2 linked regions of the Arabidopsis thaliana genome follow. The protein of the gene in region 2 interacts with the protein of the main gene of each other region in a pairwise test. Each region holds a gene or a part of one and is shown on either strand. Other genes may lie near its edges. The genes, in order: AT4G08850 and LURE1.2.

Evidence for each region.
Region 1: the proteins of LURE1.2 (region 2) and AT4G08850 interact in binary tests that used the Arabidopsis thaliana proteins (3 or more experiments, as listed by UniProt).

Annotation. Positions count from the first base shown.
Region 1 is NC_003075.7:5,632,126-5,642,556, forward strand, and holds AT4G08850 (Leucine-rich repeat receptor-like protein kinase family protein), read right to left. Parts: upstream 8,828-10,431; 5' UTR 8,372-8,827; coding exon 5,524-8,371; coding exon of another isoform or gene 5,342-5,523; exon of another isoform or gene 5,170-5,341; intron 4,858-5,169; coding exon 4,568-4,857; 3' UTR 4,354-4,567; downstream 1-4,353. Other genes in the region: PUM11 (pumilio 11), read left to right, coding at 1-161, 607-769, 861-1,024, 1,229-1,478, 1,550-1,654. UniProt on the Arabidopsis thaliana protein: Acts as a receptor of SCOOP peptides from Brassicaceae plants regulating multiple processing including plant growth, development and stress responses.
Region 2 is NC_003076.8:17,472,235-17,478,838, forward strand, and holds LURE1.2 (Putative membrane lipoprotein), read left to right. Parts: upstream 1-1,814; 5' UTR 1,815-1,876; coding exon 1,877-1,925; intron 1,926-2,020; coding exon 2,021-2,244; 3' UTR 2,245-2,251; downstream 2,252-6,604. Other genes in the region: ARP9 (actin-related protein 9), read left to right, coding at 1-40, 127-197, 278-447, 534-577, 711-760, 876-972, 1,052-1,195; LURE1.3 (Putative membrane lipoprotein), read left to right, coding at 5,786-5,837, 5,933-6,156. UniProt on the Arabidopsis thaliana protein: Pollen tube attractants guiding pollen tubes to the ovular micropyle. Attracts specifically pollen tubes from A.thaliana, but not those from A.lyrata. Triggers endocytosis of MDIS1 in the pollen tube tip.

The sequences.
Region 1 (10,431 bases), on a different chromosome or scaffold from region 2:
GAAGTGATTAATAATGTCATTGAGCTTGGAACGGATCCGTTTGGTAACTATCTTATCCAGAAGCTTATTGAAGTCTGCAATGAAGAACAAAGAACTCAGATTCTCATTAGGTTGACTTCAAAACCTGGACTTCTTGTCAAAATCTCCATCAACAATTATGGGTAAGCTTCATTATCCATTTTCACTTTTGTATATAAACTATATAATAGTAATTGTATAAAAGCATTTTGAATTTAAATGATCTGAAAAGTAAAAGCTTTTTGTCATAAGCACAAGAACTAAGGAGACATGAAATTTTGTTGCATATATGTGGAGGAAAGATGAGATCTTTCTTTCTTCGATAAAGATGAAACCTAAGCTATTTAAGGAAAGAAAGAAAAATGAGATCTTTGTGAAGAAAAAATTGTCAGATTTTTGTTGATGGAAAAAAAGATGAATTGTTTTTGCTGATTTAGACAAATCTTAGACCTTTGAAAAGAACATTTTAAATATTTTTCAGACCATTTGACTTGACTTGTTGATACATGTTTTTGGAAATCTTTGGTTTTGCTTATATTATGATAAAAGCTGAATCTTGTTGGTTTGATGTTTTCAAAATGAGTCCAGGACACGAGTGGTGCAGAAGTTGATTGAGACTGTGACTACAAAGGAGCAAATCAGTCTGGTTAAGTCAGCTCTTGTACCGGGATTTCTCTCTTTGTTTAGAGAATTAAATGGAAACCATGTGATACTAAATTGCTTGAAATTCTTTAGTCCTAATGATAACAAGGTTTATAACATAAAACTCTTCCTTAAATAGTTCAATCATGTTCTTGATAATGTTCTTTTAAAACTCTTGATGATATTTTTGCTTGTGACAGTTCATTTTGGAGGCTGCTACTAAGTTCTGCATAGAGATTGCGACTACTCGCCATGGATGTTGTGTGCTTCAACGCTGCGTTTCGTACTCGGTTGGGGAGCAACATGAGAAGCTTGTTGATGAAATATCCAGAAACTCTCTTCTCCTTGCTCAAGACCCTTTCGGGTAACAATACTTATATATATCAATATCGTTCTACAAGATTCAATACTGTTAGTATCTTATGTATAGTTAACTAGTGGGTCTAATGAACAAAACATGCCTTAAGTGATAGTATTATTTAAAATCATATAATGTCACTATGTTCCACATTGATAATATATAGTTTGTTACTAAAATACTTGTATGTGTATGTGAAAATGATGACAGGAACTATTTGGTGCAATACATAATAGAGAAGAAGGTTGGAGGAGTGAATGTACTGTTTGAGCTAAGAGGGAATTATGTGAAGTTAGCTACACAGAAGTTTGGTAGCCATGTGGTTGAGAAATGTCTCAGGTATTATCCAGAGAGCAGATCTCAGATTGTGAATGAACTCGTCTCTGTTCTAAACTTCGGATATCTTCTTCAAGACCCTTATGCTAATTACGTGATCCAGTGTGCTCTATCGAAAACCAAGGTTAGTTAGTTTAGTCATGTGATCGGTAACAGACTCGAAAACATAGTAACGGAACTGATTGGATTGAACAGGGCTTTGTTCGAGCGAGCTTGGTGGAGAAGGTTAGAAGATATGAAAATCTGAAGATGACTCCATATTGCAAGAGGATATTCTCCAAGAATCTCTGGAAGAAGTGAGTTTTAGATGATGTAACCCCTCACGCAAGGAATGTGTTGTTGTTTTGCTTAAACTAGGATTTGACTTACTCTTTTGATCCTTTACTAGAAGAAGAGCTCTTTTGTTGTCTCTCTCTATCTATGAACTTTACAAGAAGAAGAGAGCTCTTTTGTTGTCTCTGTCTTTTGTTTGGGTGTTTTCTTCTGTTGTTTTTTGTAGTCTTGAAATTGAAACTGTGTCCATAGATATAGACAGAGATTGATGGAGATGGTTTTTGTGGTTAGATATCGGCTCAGTGTTGCTGTTTTCAATGTTATCGGTTTATAGTAAATTGAAACCAAATAAAAACTATTTATGCTTTGGTTTGGTTGATAGACATTTCATTTGGCTAAAATAATAATAATTATAACACTAAAATAATAATTATTACGCGTAATCCTCATTTGCAGTAGTTGATGATTTTATGTTTTGTTTTTAGCACTATCTTGTAGGTCTGGACATAATATCCAAACCCGAAGAATCGACCGAATCCGACCCGAAAATTCTAATTAGAACTCGAACCCAAAATTTTTAAATACCCGAACAGGTTTAAATTTCCAAATCCAAAAAACCCGAAACCGAACAGATACTCAAACATATCTCAAATATAAGTATATATTAGTTATATTTATACTCATATATTTTAGTTATTTTTGTGTATTTTTAAATATATTCAAGCAAAATTACTTATGTTGTTTTGATAATTTTTGAAATTTTCAAGTAATTTAATAGGGTTGTACACAAAATTTTGATATTTTAATATAGAAATAAACCGAACCAAACCCTTTAATTACCAGATCATGTATTAAATTTCTAAACCCGAAAAACATGAATCTGAAATACTCGACCCAAACCCGACCCTAATACCCAAACGCCCAAAGCTATTATCTTGGATCATTATGGCTTAAACTTACTCGCTGACATTTTTGACAAAAAAATAAAAAGAAAAATACTCCTTTTCTTTAGAGCTTTTACGAGTTCTTCATAACAACAAAATTATTTGACTTTAGATAACAACTCTAAATTACAAGTTACTTTTTTTCTTTTTCTTTGTGCAAGTACAAACCTACTAAATTACAAGTTACTACAATCCAAAACTTGTTCATAAAACACACCACATCTTCTCCACCGCGATAACCGCCTGAATCTTGTCTCCTACGTTTCCTTTTATGTCAAAACAATGCCACAAAACGCAGAGCAAAATAATTCTTCTTTAGGCAAGCATGTGACGTCTGCGTGCTGATTCGTAGGAAACTGGGCTCTTCAATGGGCCTTATTTTCGGCCTCTTGTTTAAAACTTTCTAGATAAGCTCTTCCCTTGTGTTATAGCTGAAAGCTCTTCCCATGGTTTTTAACTTTAAGGGGTAGGTAATTTGGTTTATTTTCGGTTTCGGATTGGATTAGGTTTATTTGGTTGGTAATAAACTAGATGGATCCAAAATCAAAGGTAGTATTATTCGGTTTAGTTATGTTTGGTTTGGATTTGGTTCGAAAAACGAAACAAATTAAATACAATAGAGCATGAAACCAAACTTACCGTCATTTGAAGATTGATATGGAGACTACATGTAAATTTTCGAAATAAAAAAAATTATATATTAAGGGTTTTGTACAACAAAATTTTCTAACTCATCCACTTTTGCAATTTTATCATTCACCTCTAACAAACGCAGATTATATTTATGAAGTCCAAAATAATAAGAAATATGATTCTTATATGTATATTGTTAACGTTTTTATGGTCACATACATTAGAGTTGTAAGATTTTGAATGTATAATTAAACTCTTGGTCAAAAGGACTTCAATTTAACATATTATATATCAATATTTTACAAAACTGATGATAGCAAAAACAGGCAAAAAATATTACCTTGCGTATTATTTTAGATTTCATAGGATTAATCTGTATTTGTTGGAAGTGGAAGGTAAAGTTGTAAAAATGGATGAATTAAGGATTTTTTTTGCAGAAAACTCTAATATTAAATACTAGGTAGATTGAATCATTGTTTCCGGTCCAGTTATAAACCGAACAAAACCATTCGGGTCAAATTAAAGTGTAACCAAAAGATTTGTGCATCGAATATGGTTCGACTTGGATTTGTTTGAGTTCGGATAGTTCAATATGGTTAAAATACACACCCTATGTTAAGAAACTCAAATAAAACTCACTATTTTGAAATAAATGCAAGAACGCGACATACTTTTGTATCTATTAAAGAGAAAAATTAAAGAAAGATGCAAACATTCTATATATATACAAAAGATGCAAACTAGTATGTATTTCGTCTCTTAAGTAACTTTTAGAAATAAAACAACTATATAATACTAAATACTAGGTAGATCGGATCATTGGTTCCGGTCCAGTTATAAACCGAACGAAACTGTTCGGGTCTAATTAAAGCATAACCAAGAGATTTGTGTATGGATTATGGTTTGGCTTGGATTAGTTTGAGTTTGGACTTCGGATGGTTCGATAGGGTTAAATTTTTTTAATACACACCCCTATGTTAACAAACTCAAATATAAAACTCATTATTTTGAAATTAAGAATTTCTATGATTTCTCAAATTTCAGTTTCTACTCAAATTCAAATTTTATCGCACTTGTTGTAAAAACGATATTTTTTCTTTGAATATAATTTAACATTAGATTTAAAAAAAAAAAAGAAAAAATCACAAGCAAAAACATTGACATATTTTTTGTATCTATTAGTGAGAAAAATTAAAGAAAGAAACATTATATATACAAAAGATGCAAACTATTATATAATTCATCACAAAAACTAAAATTCCATGAAACAAAAATATTAACCCATAATCAAAGAAACAAACACTACAACGTGTAAAGTTTCTGCTTGGTAGAGACTAGAGAGAGTCAGAGAAGAGACAAGTTCTTAAGAAAAGGCAGTGGAGATAGAGAGCATTGTTGGGCGAGCTTGTGGATCAGAATGTAAACACAAAAGTGCAACTTTCAAAATCTCTAAGACCTCCTCTTTAATCTCCGGTGTCGGTTCCGGTAGCCGGTGGTCGGAAATGCTTTTCAGTGACAGAGTTGCATCGGGAGGTGAGGATGAAAGAGTTGAAACTAGATCTCCTGGATGCTCTCCTTTGATCACTTCAAGTGTTAGAACTCCAAAGCTATACACATCGCATTTCTCAGTCACTTTCATCGCATAAGCTAGTTCTGTCACATCCAAATTTCACAAACATGTTAGTCACTATCATTATTTTTATTTATGATATATACTAAATAATAAATCAGATTTATAAGACTTATAGGAATTGCATTTTAAACTAACTCAAACTATACCAAAATGAATCAAATAGAAATGCTTAGTACTTGAAATTTGGCAAAAAAATAAAACGAAGTAAAATCGATTTTCTAACCAAAATTCATGAATAATTTATGTTTCAAAATCAATATATTAAATATAAATATAATATCATTACATAATCTAATAATAATTTTCACTAATTCTTTTTTTTTTTTTTTTTTTTTTGTAAATTTTACATTTATTTAAAAGCTGAACCAAATCCAAACTTAAAACATTATTTTTTTCTTTCTAGAAATTAGACTAGGAATTTCATTACCTACAAAAATTTTGGTTTTTATTTGGTTATAATATAATGAATTCTAGTTGTTTACTTAATTTGCAACAAAATTTTGGTTAAAAACTGAACCAAATCCAACCCATAGTCAAAAAAAACTTCAAACCGAAACAAAACATTTTGGTTTTTATTTGGTTAAAATTTAACCCGAATAAACCAAATCTAACCATAATTTCAACCCGACCCGACCATAACCGGGTCAAATCCACAACCAATTTATCCAACGGGTCAAAAAGCGTACCTGGAGCAACATAGCCGTAAGTACCAGCAACGGCGGACCAATTTGAAGAATCCGGTTTAAGAAGCTTCGCAGTACCAAAATCAGAGATCTTCGCTTCATAATCCTCGCCGAGAAGAATATTCCCACTACTAATATCACGGTGAACAATCGCCGGAGACCGATCATGATGCATATAAGACAAAGCATGAGCCACACCTTTCACAACGTTGATCCTCTTTCCCCAATCTAACTTCTTCGCTTCATCATCATTCTCCAAAACTTTCCTCAAGCTTCCTCTCTCCATGTACTCGTAAACCAGAAACGTGTTGCGGCGATGCGAGCAGAATCCGAAGAGTTTCACGACGTTCCGGTGACGGATCTCGGTTAGTGCTCTGATTTCGTTGAGAAACTCTTGTTTTGTTGATGGATTTGAGATTGATGAGTCTGTTGTTTCGTTTAGCTTTTTCACCGCCATGATTGCGTTTGGTAGCTTTGCTTTGTAGACTTTGCCGTGTCCTCCGGTTCCGATTAGGTATTTTGGATCGAATTCTCCTGTTGCTTTGATGATCTCTTGGTATCGGACTTTGCCGTCGAAGCTGAAGATTGATAATGTTTCTCCTCCTGATTCTGAATCTGTATGCTCCTCGATTTGTTTTGTTCGTTTACGGAAACAGATGAAGATTCCGGCGCAGACGGAGAGGATTATGATTGCTCCGATGATCGGAACTAGTATGTAGATGATTAGGTTTCGATCCTTGTGTGATTTCTTTGAGGATGTGATTGAACATGGCTTCAAGCCTTGTGTGGTGTTAACACTACCACATAAGTCTTTGTTACCTTCAAAAGCATCTGGAGGTGCGTTTCGAAACGCTGCGTTATCTGGAATTGGACCTTGGAGGTTGTTGTGTGATACATCGACGTGTGTTAGTGCTAGCATATCTTTGAAACTTGGTGGGATTTGACCTGAGAGATTGTTGTGTGAGAGGTCGAGTCTTTCGAGGTTTTGTAAAGATCTGAATTGTGATGAGATCTCTCCGTCGAGCTGATTGTAGCTGAGATCAAGCATTTGTAACTGAGATAGCTTTGTTAACCCCTCCGGGATGGTTTGATCCAAGTCGTTTCTGCTCAGGTTCATGTAGTAGAGCCTTGGCAAATTGTTGAGCGTTGGGGGTATTTCGGAACTGAATCGGTTTGAGGATAGATCAAGATACTCAAGATTGGTTAAGAGTCTGATTCCTGAAGGGATTTTGCCTGATAGCCGATTCCCGTTGAGTTGGAGTTTTGATATACGGTTGATATTGCTGATTGATTCAGGTAGCTCGCCGGTGATGCGGTTGGAAGATAGATCGAGCTGACTTAGCTGTGTCATGTTCCAAATCTCAGGTGGGATGGCTCCAGTGATGCTGTTGTTTGAGAGGATGAATGCAACCAGCTTTTGACTTTGTTCCCAGTTGGCTGAAAGTTGTCCATGAAAGTTGTTGTTGCTGAGATCGATGAAGTTGAGAGTCGGGTAAACTCCGAAAGCCTCAGAGATATCTCCGGAGAAACTATTCCCTTTGAATCTTACTCTGATCAAGCTCTTGCAATCTCTCAAGCTTTTAGGAACAGGACCTTCGAAGTGATTATCATCTAGCGTAAGATTCTCAAGCTTTCCACCTCTACAGATGGTATCAGGCAAGAAACCGGTGAAGTTGTTGGTGTCGAGCTGCAGGACGGTGAGCTCTGTAGAGTTAGCAATTCCCGGTGGGATGGGACCAGAGAGCTGATTATCACGTAGGAACAACCATTCCAACGCGGTTAACTTGCCAAAAGAATCGGGAACAGGACCGGTGAGTTTGTTCTCACTTATCTCCAAATCAATCATTGATTCCATTTCGCCTAGTTCCGGTGGAATCGAACCATTGAGTTGATTCAGGTAAAGATGAAGAACGGCTAGGGTTTTGATGTTTCCTAAGGTAGAAGGTATTGGACCGGTAAGCTTATTTGTGTGGAGACTAAGTGTATCTAAAGCGGTCATATTACCAATCTCAGGAGGGATTTCACCAGAGAGCTGATTTTCAAACATATTGAGAAGAGTTACATTCTTCAAATTCCCGAAACTAGAAGGGATTTTACCGGTAAGGTTGTTCCTATCTAGACATAGCTCTCTAAGGTTGGGTAAGTTTCCTATTTCAGAAGGAATTGAACCAGAAAGAGAATTGATAAAGAGGTAGAGGTTAACTAGTTTGGTAAGGTTTCCAAAAGAAGAAGGTATTGGTCCGGTTAAAAGATTGTCGTATATAGCTATCTCCGTAACCTTAGTTAACCGACCGATCTCAGAAGGAATCGATCCGTTTAACTTGTTTTCAACTAGATGGAGAGTATCTAAATTACTCAAATCACCAAGTTCAGGTGGGATTTCACCAACTAACTGGTTAATCGACAAATCGAAGTATTCGAGTTTCGAGAACCGTCCCCATAAAGGAGAGATGGTTCCAGAGAAACGGTTCATACTGAGATCAACAAAAGTGAGATTGGGGAGAGACGAGAATGGAAAATCTTCGAAAGTACCTTCGATACCGGTATTAGTAAGATTCAACCGTATAATGCTCCCGAGTGAGCAGGCAACACCATACCAACTGGTACAAAAGCTGCTTGTGTTTGGATTGACCCAAGAAGATAGCTTTGATGAACTTGTCTGGTTTGTGAAAGTTGACTTCCATTTCAAAAGAGCATTAGCTTCTTCCACCGTTGCAGAAACAGCAAAAGAACAACTCAAAACTATAGATATGATCAAAAGAACTTGAAGATCACGAGGCTTTTCTTTACAAGCCATTCTCTCTTTGAATGAGGTTAGTGATATTTTTCTTTCTGGGTTTGTTTTGTTCATACAGTTGCAGATTATCTCTCTACGGTCTTTTATAAACTGAAAATTGATTTCGTTGACTAGTCCGTGATAGTTGACTATGGGTTGTCACTTGTTAATAGAGGACAAATAAGTCAATATCTTGAATTCTCTCTTTAATTATTAGCCGTTTACTTTGTCAAACAAAATCTTCGGAAATTATCACTTCACACACACATTCACATTAATATAAAAATAGTTTACTGACTTGTTTAAGTTGTTGTTTTCTACTTTTGTATAAAGATAATGTATGAGTTCTTTGAATGTTATATTATAATGTATTTAAAAAAAAACACTTATATAAAAGTTATTGACGGCAGGATTGGTGGATTTATATGGACTGACAACGATGGTCAATTTTTCATTAGCAAATAAAATATGGGTTAGTCATGTTCATTTGGACGATAAGATTAATTAGTTTTTTCAACAATGGGAAAATGCATTGATGTTACTTTTAGTATAGTAATATAATACAAATCTTTCTTAAAAATATCTCTTAACTTTATTGTGTGATTTTTTAACAACTTGTACCATAAAATAAGAAACTATTTTTCTTATAAGAATGTAAATATCATTTCAAAAAATGAAAGATATAGAAATTACAAAGTAAATTCTAAAAATATGGTCCCATACCGTCCCATACCAAAAAAGCTAAAGAATTATGAAAGTATATACATTCGAAAATCAAATCATCACTAAATTCTTAAGTAGTAAAGGTTACTTAAGAATCAACTCGATAAAAAAGACTCACCTAAGCAGAACATGGCTAGAAACAAGAGCAGTAAGGGAAAAAAAGATCTTCAGACTGACTAGAATGCTTAGCGGAAGTCCCTTTAACGTAAGTTCAAACCTAAAAAATACGAAACTTAAATAAAACACGGACGCCTCAAGAGTCAAGATCACCATATGTAGATTTAACATCTCGAATTATTATTATTATTCTTTTTTTTTATTTTTTAATCTCGAATTTCCTTATCACTGTAAATAACAAAAGAGGTTTAGTTTTATTTTTGTCAAATATACTTTGGTAAAAATAATAGAAATTCAACTTTTAGGGAAGAGATCTACGACAAAAAGGATTGACTTTTGAAGTCTTGCACAAGGTATGGTCATGTACAATCAACTGGTCCCCTCAATGTAATCTCATGGACCTTCTTATTGTATTGTATGTTTTTTTTTTCTTTGTATTGAATTGTTAATATATTATTTCTTAGTTCAAGTATGTAAATCCTAAATAGTTATTAAGATAGCATTCGTTATAATTTTCTTTGGAAAATAATGTGTGAAACCAAGTCATTTTCGTATAGAAGAAGCCAGACAAAATTAGAAAAGAAATTCAAAGACAACTAGAAACTTGACAAAAAATAGAAGAATTGATTGATTGAGGTATAGACTTAGTGCGAAGACTGAATAACAAAGGTTAGCTTGCATGACTAGTAGGTAATAAGATTTACGTGACTCTATTGGCCGAGAAAGAAAAGCTCCACCATTGTTTACACGAACACTTAATTTTTCAAACGTAAATTGTAATCATCTCGACCATCATCAAAATCCTAACTATTCAATCATTTAAAACGCATATAAAACCAAAAATTTATAATCCATAACGAAATCATTCTCATAAAAAGTTAACAATAACCCAATTCGTTGAAAATCCGAATTGTGTATTATCTGATACTTATTTTTACATCATAAAAAGTTATAATTTTAAGAACATCTTATGGTTTATTTTTTAATTAACTCTTCTTAATATCATATTCTTCTTATTCTATGACATATCACGTATGTCATCTCTTCTTTAGTTTTCGTTTTTATTATTCAATATAATTCTGTTAAAATAAGATTATTATATATAAAAAAAAGGAAGAAGAGGAAAACAGTCCTTTGAGCTTTTGTAACGCGTTTTCTCTTGTTTTTAAGGAACAATTAAGGGCTTGATTGGTTTTCCCTCTGCCATCCGCAAACGCTGCATTTGCGGGTGGTAGCGGTTGTTAGCGATTGGCACCAATCATACAAACTGCTAGATACCGCTTTGGACCGTTCGA
Region 2 (6,604 bases):
GCCAGCTGTGCCTCACAAGACAAATCTCACCTCCCTTAACGTAAACAAAAGACAAGATCAAGCCATTTTGCTGTCAATGCTCACCTATGATTTTAGTCTTGAAAATCTTTTGTTTGGTTATGTCAGGTTCCACCAATGGGTCTGTTTTATCCTAACCTTTTGGTCCCTGAAATATTTCCCCAGCCACCACGTCAATGGTCAGAGTTAAACCTTCTTATATTCTTCTCTTTGGTTTAGTTGTCGACCGAGAGATACTCATTTGAAACCTATTGTTTAGGTTTCAAGACTACGAGAATATGTTGGAAGACACTTGGAACATGGACTTTGGAGGTGGTGGTAACATGGGATTACCAATGTGGGATAGTTTTGCATTTTCGCCTTCAAAACCAAAGAAAGAAGAGAAGATTGGTCTCGCTGAAGCCATTACAAGCAGCATTCTCTCTGCTGGTATATGTTGTGATGCACCCTCCTGCATTATATAAAAATCAACACCTAACAAAAACGTTATCCTTTTCTTCTTCCTTTGCTTGTAGGACGCATAGACCTTAGACGGAAGCTTTTCTCCAGCATTCAATTGGTAGATCCTGAAAACCTTTTTTTTTACACACTCAAGTTTTCGCCATGTACTTCCTTAAAATCATGTGCTACCATGTAACTCTTCATACATGAATGTGTTACCTTGGAACTCTCTCTCTCTTTTGGCTTCTCAGATTGGTGGTGCTGGTTTGACGAAAGGTCTTGTAGCGGCAGTGGAAGAAAGGTTTGCTCGTTTCCTTTACCAAACATTTCGTTTTCTAACATCCAGAAGGCACATCCAACTAAACAGAGTATTTTGTTCAACTAATGTTTATGTCCCTCTCTCCTTTGCGTTTCAGAGTTCTTCACGCGATACCTCCAACTGAAGCCATTGATACAGTGCAGGTTCTGCCATCAAGAACGGAGCCACAATTCGTAACTTGGAAAGGAGGAGCGGTACGTTTGCATTTGTTTGCATCTTTTATTTTCTTACCACTCTTGATTTTGTGTATTTATGTACTGAAATTTGAGACAGATATTGGGAATTCTGGACTTTGGGAGGGAGGCTTGGATTGAGAGACATCAATGGATGGTAAATGGGGTTAATAAAGGTGGTCTAAAGAAGTACAAAGACTCTTATCACCTTCAAGGTCAAGCAATGTACTTCATCAACCCCTAGTTTCTGTCTATATCTTAAGCTTTCTCTGTTTCTTATCAGAATACTTTTACTTGTCATAACTCAAAACCAAAAACAAAAATTCTCAGAGTAAATGTTATTTTGCTAAGATATTCTCAGAGTTTGGATTGATTCGAGGCATATAAGAATTTAACTGATTTGGTCATCTTTAAGATCATAACTATTAATAAGGAATCCAAAAGTTATTTAAGGTTTTGTTAGAAAAGCAAGATAGGCATCATGAGTTAGTATATATATATATATATATATATATAATATAGAACTTTTTGATTTTTTTTAATCAAACTATATTATATATATATATGTCTTAGTTCCTAATAAAATGTAAACTTCAATAGAATTTTTGAAATATAAAGTTTTAAACCTGTAATTGTTTGCACTTATTAGATGTATATTACTATTTATACCAATATATAACAGATTTTAATAACTAAACAATTATAATTTTTTAACAAAAACAAACGTAATAGGTTACTGAAATTTACTTTATAACAAAATAAAACGTTTAAATGAAAATTAACTCTTTATATAACATATTTATCTACAGAGCCTATAAATATGACTAAATATTGCTTTAATACTCCAGAGCAAAACAAAAGAAAAACGATTCACAATAATATTTAATATATTTTCTTTGTGATATTGGTTAATTTCTACCAAGAAATGAAGTTGCCTATTATATTCTTAACTCTATTAATTTTTGTTTCTTCATGTAAGTCTAAATTATTTAATTAGGATAATGTGTCAGTATTATAATCATTATAAAAACTGTTTAAGAATTTGATATATCTTTTAAAAATTTGATAGGTACATCAACACTTATAAATGGATCTAGTGATGAAGAGAGAACATATTCTTTCAGTCCAACAACAAGTCCTTTTGATCCACGCTCACTGAACCAAGAACTTAAAATTGGGAGAATTGGTTACTGTTTTGATTGCGCAAGAGCTTGTATGAGACGGGGTAAGTATATTCGTACATGTAGTTTTGAAAGAAAACTTTGTCGTTGCAGTATTAGTGATATTAAATAAGGCATTGTAACTTTGTTAAACATTAATAAAAAAACAAATTATATTACTGTTTAATGTTCATCCATGCTCTTCTTTTTACAATAATGAAAATGTATAATAATCTAAAAGTTTTGTAGTGTGCACTTAACATGAAATTTATTGGAGTTAATAAAGGCTGTCTAAAGAAGTACAAAGACTCTTATCACCTTCAAGGTCAAGCAATGTACTTCATCAACCCCTAGTTTCTGTCTATATCTTAAGCTTTCTCTGTTTCTTATCACAATAACTTTTACTTGTCATAACTCAAAACCAAAAACAAAAGTTCTCAGAGTAAATGTTATTTTGCTAAGATATTGTATGTTTTGTCATGTATTTGATTGAACCCTTTCTCTCTACACAACAAAACCAATTTCTAAGGGAGTTTTATTTTAGATTTATGATGGTTTAAAGAGAGAAAAAAAAAAAAAAAGTAGTTACAGTTTTTTGTCCCACATCGGCAATACGAGAGGGAAGGAGAGCAGAGAAGGGCTTATATAAAGAAGATGGGCCTCACCGTTAGAAATTAAAAAGGGTCGGATGGCTATTTATGCCACGCTCAGCCTAAGATAAGGGGTGAGTGCTGTATGGCAAAATCAAGACATATGGCCGACATTATTTCTGGAACAACCCATGGGTTGGCTCGCTCGGCCGACCCTCCAAATTACAATTAAAAATAATTAAAATTTGTTTATCATACGTTCGGCGTAATTGTTTACTATAATTAGATAAAGAATCCATTTTAATTCCCTCAACTAAAGTATTATTGACAAATACTTTATTCTATATACATTTAAAACTCCAAATGACTATCGTTAAATCTATATCATTTTGATTTGTTAAAATGCAATTTTTTTTTGTTTTAAGGACAACATTAGAAACATGATGTAATCGATTGGGAATATAAAACAGTTTGTCAATATAACTATGACTACCATTAATAATTTAAACCTAACACCTTGCTCACATACAATACTCCATGCATATTGCATAGGTCGAATCAAATTAAACCAAAAATCTATATATTTTGTGATATTAATTCTGACCGATCATTAAAATTTACTGTATACTGTATTTAGTAGTTGTCGTCAACTTGTTTACAAAATGTTTAAGTGATCAATAATTAAAAAACAAATTGAAATCAAAATAATTTTACCATTCACAATTTAAACTTAAACGCTTTGCTCACATATCATATTGCATTGCTCACACGCTTTCATCACATTACCATTCGACAGGAAAGAGTAAAAGTGTTAAATCACCACCACCCGATTGAGGAACAAAATTCTACATATTATGAAATGTTTTTTTTTTAACTTTTATAATAATGAAAAAACTTAATACCAAATCTTCTTAATAATCAGGTTACAACTTTAAATACTTTTGTTTCTAAAACTTTTTAAAAATAATTTGTTTCTATAGATAAAAAAATGAAAGGTGTTTGTTCAAAACAAATATGAAATAAGGTGATTTAAAGAATTTTCTTATTAATAAATAATTTAAGCAATTTATAACTAAAAGATATATACATATGTAGAAAGAGTTTGGATTGATTCGAGGCATATAAGAATTAAACTGATTTGGTCATCTTTAAGATCATAAATATTAATAAGGAATCCAAAAGTAATTTAAGATTTTGTTAGAAAAGCAAGATAGGCATCATCAGTTAGTATGTATATAAGATTTTGTTAATCAAATTATAGTATATATTATGTATTAGTTCCTCAAATTAAATATTTTAAATAAAATGTGGGCATCAATAGTAATTTTTAAATTTAAAGTTTTAAACCGGTAATTGTATGCACTTATTAGACGTAGGAAGATTTGCAAAAGTACCATTTTTCTACTACATCATGCAACAATACCTTTTTCAACAATCTTTTGCAATAATACCATTTTCTGTTGTCCATTTTTAAAAATACTCATTCTCTTGAACAAAATAACCAAATTACCCTCATTTAATGAGAACACATAATTAGAAACAGAAATTTTGGCGCCAAAGTTTTTTTCCCCCCAAAATGGTTTTCCCTCCAAAAAAAGTTTCCCACCAAAAAGAATTTCCCGTAACAAAATTTTTCCCAACTAAAAACTTCATTTAAAAACCCTTGTAAATCATTTTAAAACCTCTTAAAATCTTTATACAATCTTTAAATACATATAAAAATACTTTAAAAACCTTTGTAAATCATTTTATAACCTTTTACAATGGTTTTAAAAGATTTACAAGAGTTTTTAAGAAGTTTTAAAAGGATTTTAAATCCTTTTAAAATCTTATTAAAACTCTTATAAAGTCTTTAAATCATTTTTAACTTTTTAATAAAATTTGTAAATATTTTTAAAAATTTGTAAATATTTTAAAACATTTGTAACTCTTTTTTACCATTTTAAAAGTCTTGTGAACCCTTACAAAAGGTTTTAAAAAATTTACAAGTGTTTTTAAAGGGTTTTAAAACCTTGTAAACCATTTATAAATCTTAAAAAAAAACTTGTAAACCCTTTAATAAACTTTTAACCATTTTAAAAGTCTTGTGAACCCCTTACAAAAGGTTTTAAAAAAATTTACAAGAGTTTTTAAAAGATTTTAAACTTGTAAATCTTTTAAAAATCCTTGTAAATCCTTTAAAATCTTTGTAAACCCTTTCATAATTTTTGAACCATTTTAAAAGTCTTGTGAACCCCTTACAAAAGGTTTTAAAAATTTTTACAAGAGTTTTTAAAAGATTTTAAACTTGTAAATCTTTTAAAAATCCTTGTAAATCTTTTACAATCTTTGTAAACCCTTTAATAATTTTTGAACCATTTTAAAACTCTTGTGAACCCCTTAAAAAAAGTTTTAAAACGATTTACAAGAGGTTTTAAAGGGTTTTAAAACTCTTGTAAATTCCTTAAAAAAAATTTTAAAACCCTCGTAATTTTTTAAAAAATCTTTTAAAACCTTACCCGCTAAATTTGTTTTTTGTGGGAAAATTTTTTTTGGAATAAAAAATTTGGCGGAATATTTTTTCGATATTACTTTGGCGGGAAAATGTATTTCAAAACTTTTTGTGGCGAAAAAATTATTTTAGGAATATTTTAAGTGGAAAAATCAATATTTTATTTTGTTAACCTAAAATATTTTCCAAATAGAGGTAAAATGGTCACCAAAAATAAAAAAAAGGTAAAAATGAAAATGACAAACAAGAAAGGGTATACTTGAAAATGGGTAATGTTGAAACCGCATTCTTAGCAATTATTCTTAGATGTATATTAATATTTATACCAATATAAAACATATTTTAATAACTAAATTATTAAAATTTAAAATTGAAAACAAACGTAATAAGTTACTGAACTTTCCTTTATAACAAAATAAAACGTTTTAATGAAAATTAACTCTTTTATAACATATTTATCTAGAGAGCCTATAAATATGACTAAATATTGCTTTAATACTCCAGAGCAAAACAGAAGAAAAACAAAATTCAAAACGATTCACAAAAACATTTCATATATTTTTTTAGTGATATTGGTTAATTTCTACAAAGAAATGAAGTTGCCTTTTATATTCTTAATTACTCTATTAATTTTTGTTTCTTCATGTAAGTCTAAATTATTTAATTAGGATAATGTGTCAGTACTATAATCATTACAAAACCAGTTTAAGAATTTGATATATCTTTTGAAAATTTGATAGGTACATCAATACTTATAAATGAATCTAGTGATGAAGAGAGAACATATTCTTTCAGTCCAACAACAAGTCCTTTTGATCCACGCTCACTTAACCAAGAACTTAAAATTGGGAGAATTGGTTACTGTTTTGATTGCGCAAGAGCTTGTATGAGACGGGGTAAGTATATTCGTACATGTAGTTTTGAAAGAAAACTTTGTCGTTGCAGTATTAGTGGTATTAAATAAGGCATTGTAACTTTGTTAAACATTAATAAAAAAACAAATTCTGTTACTGTTTAATGTTCATCCATGCCCTTCTTTTTATAATAATGAACATGTATAATAATCTAACAGTTTTGTAGTGTGCACTAAACATGAAATCTATTGGGAAACATAAGTCCATGACAACTAAATAAATATTTGAAAAAAAACATATTCAACATAACCAAGAAAACTGTTAGTTTTTTCTAAACATTTTACATTTAAACAAATTTCTTTAGCTCATTTTTACTATAAATCTATTTTATTATATAAAATATGGTTTTCAAAGTTTTGAAAGGGTCAAAGATTTTAATCACCCCCACATCTCAACATAGATAAGGTTCCAATATGTTTAATTATTTTGCATATTTACCTAAAACCTTCTGAGTTATGATAGACAAAATTAAAGAAAACAAATCTTCAAATCAGCTTA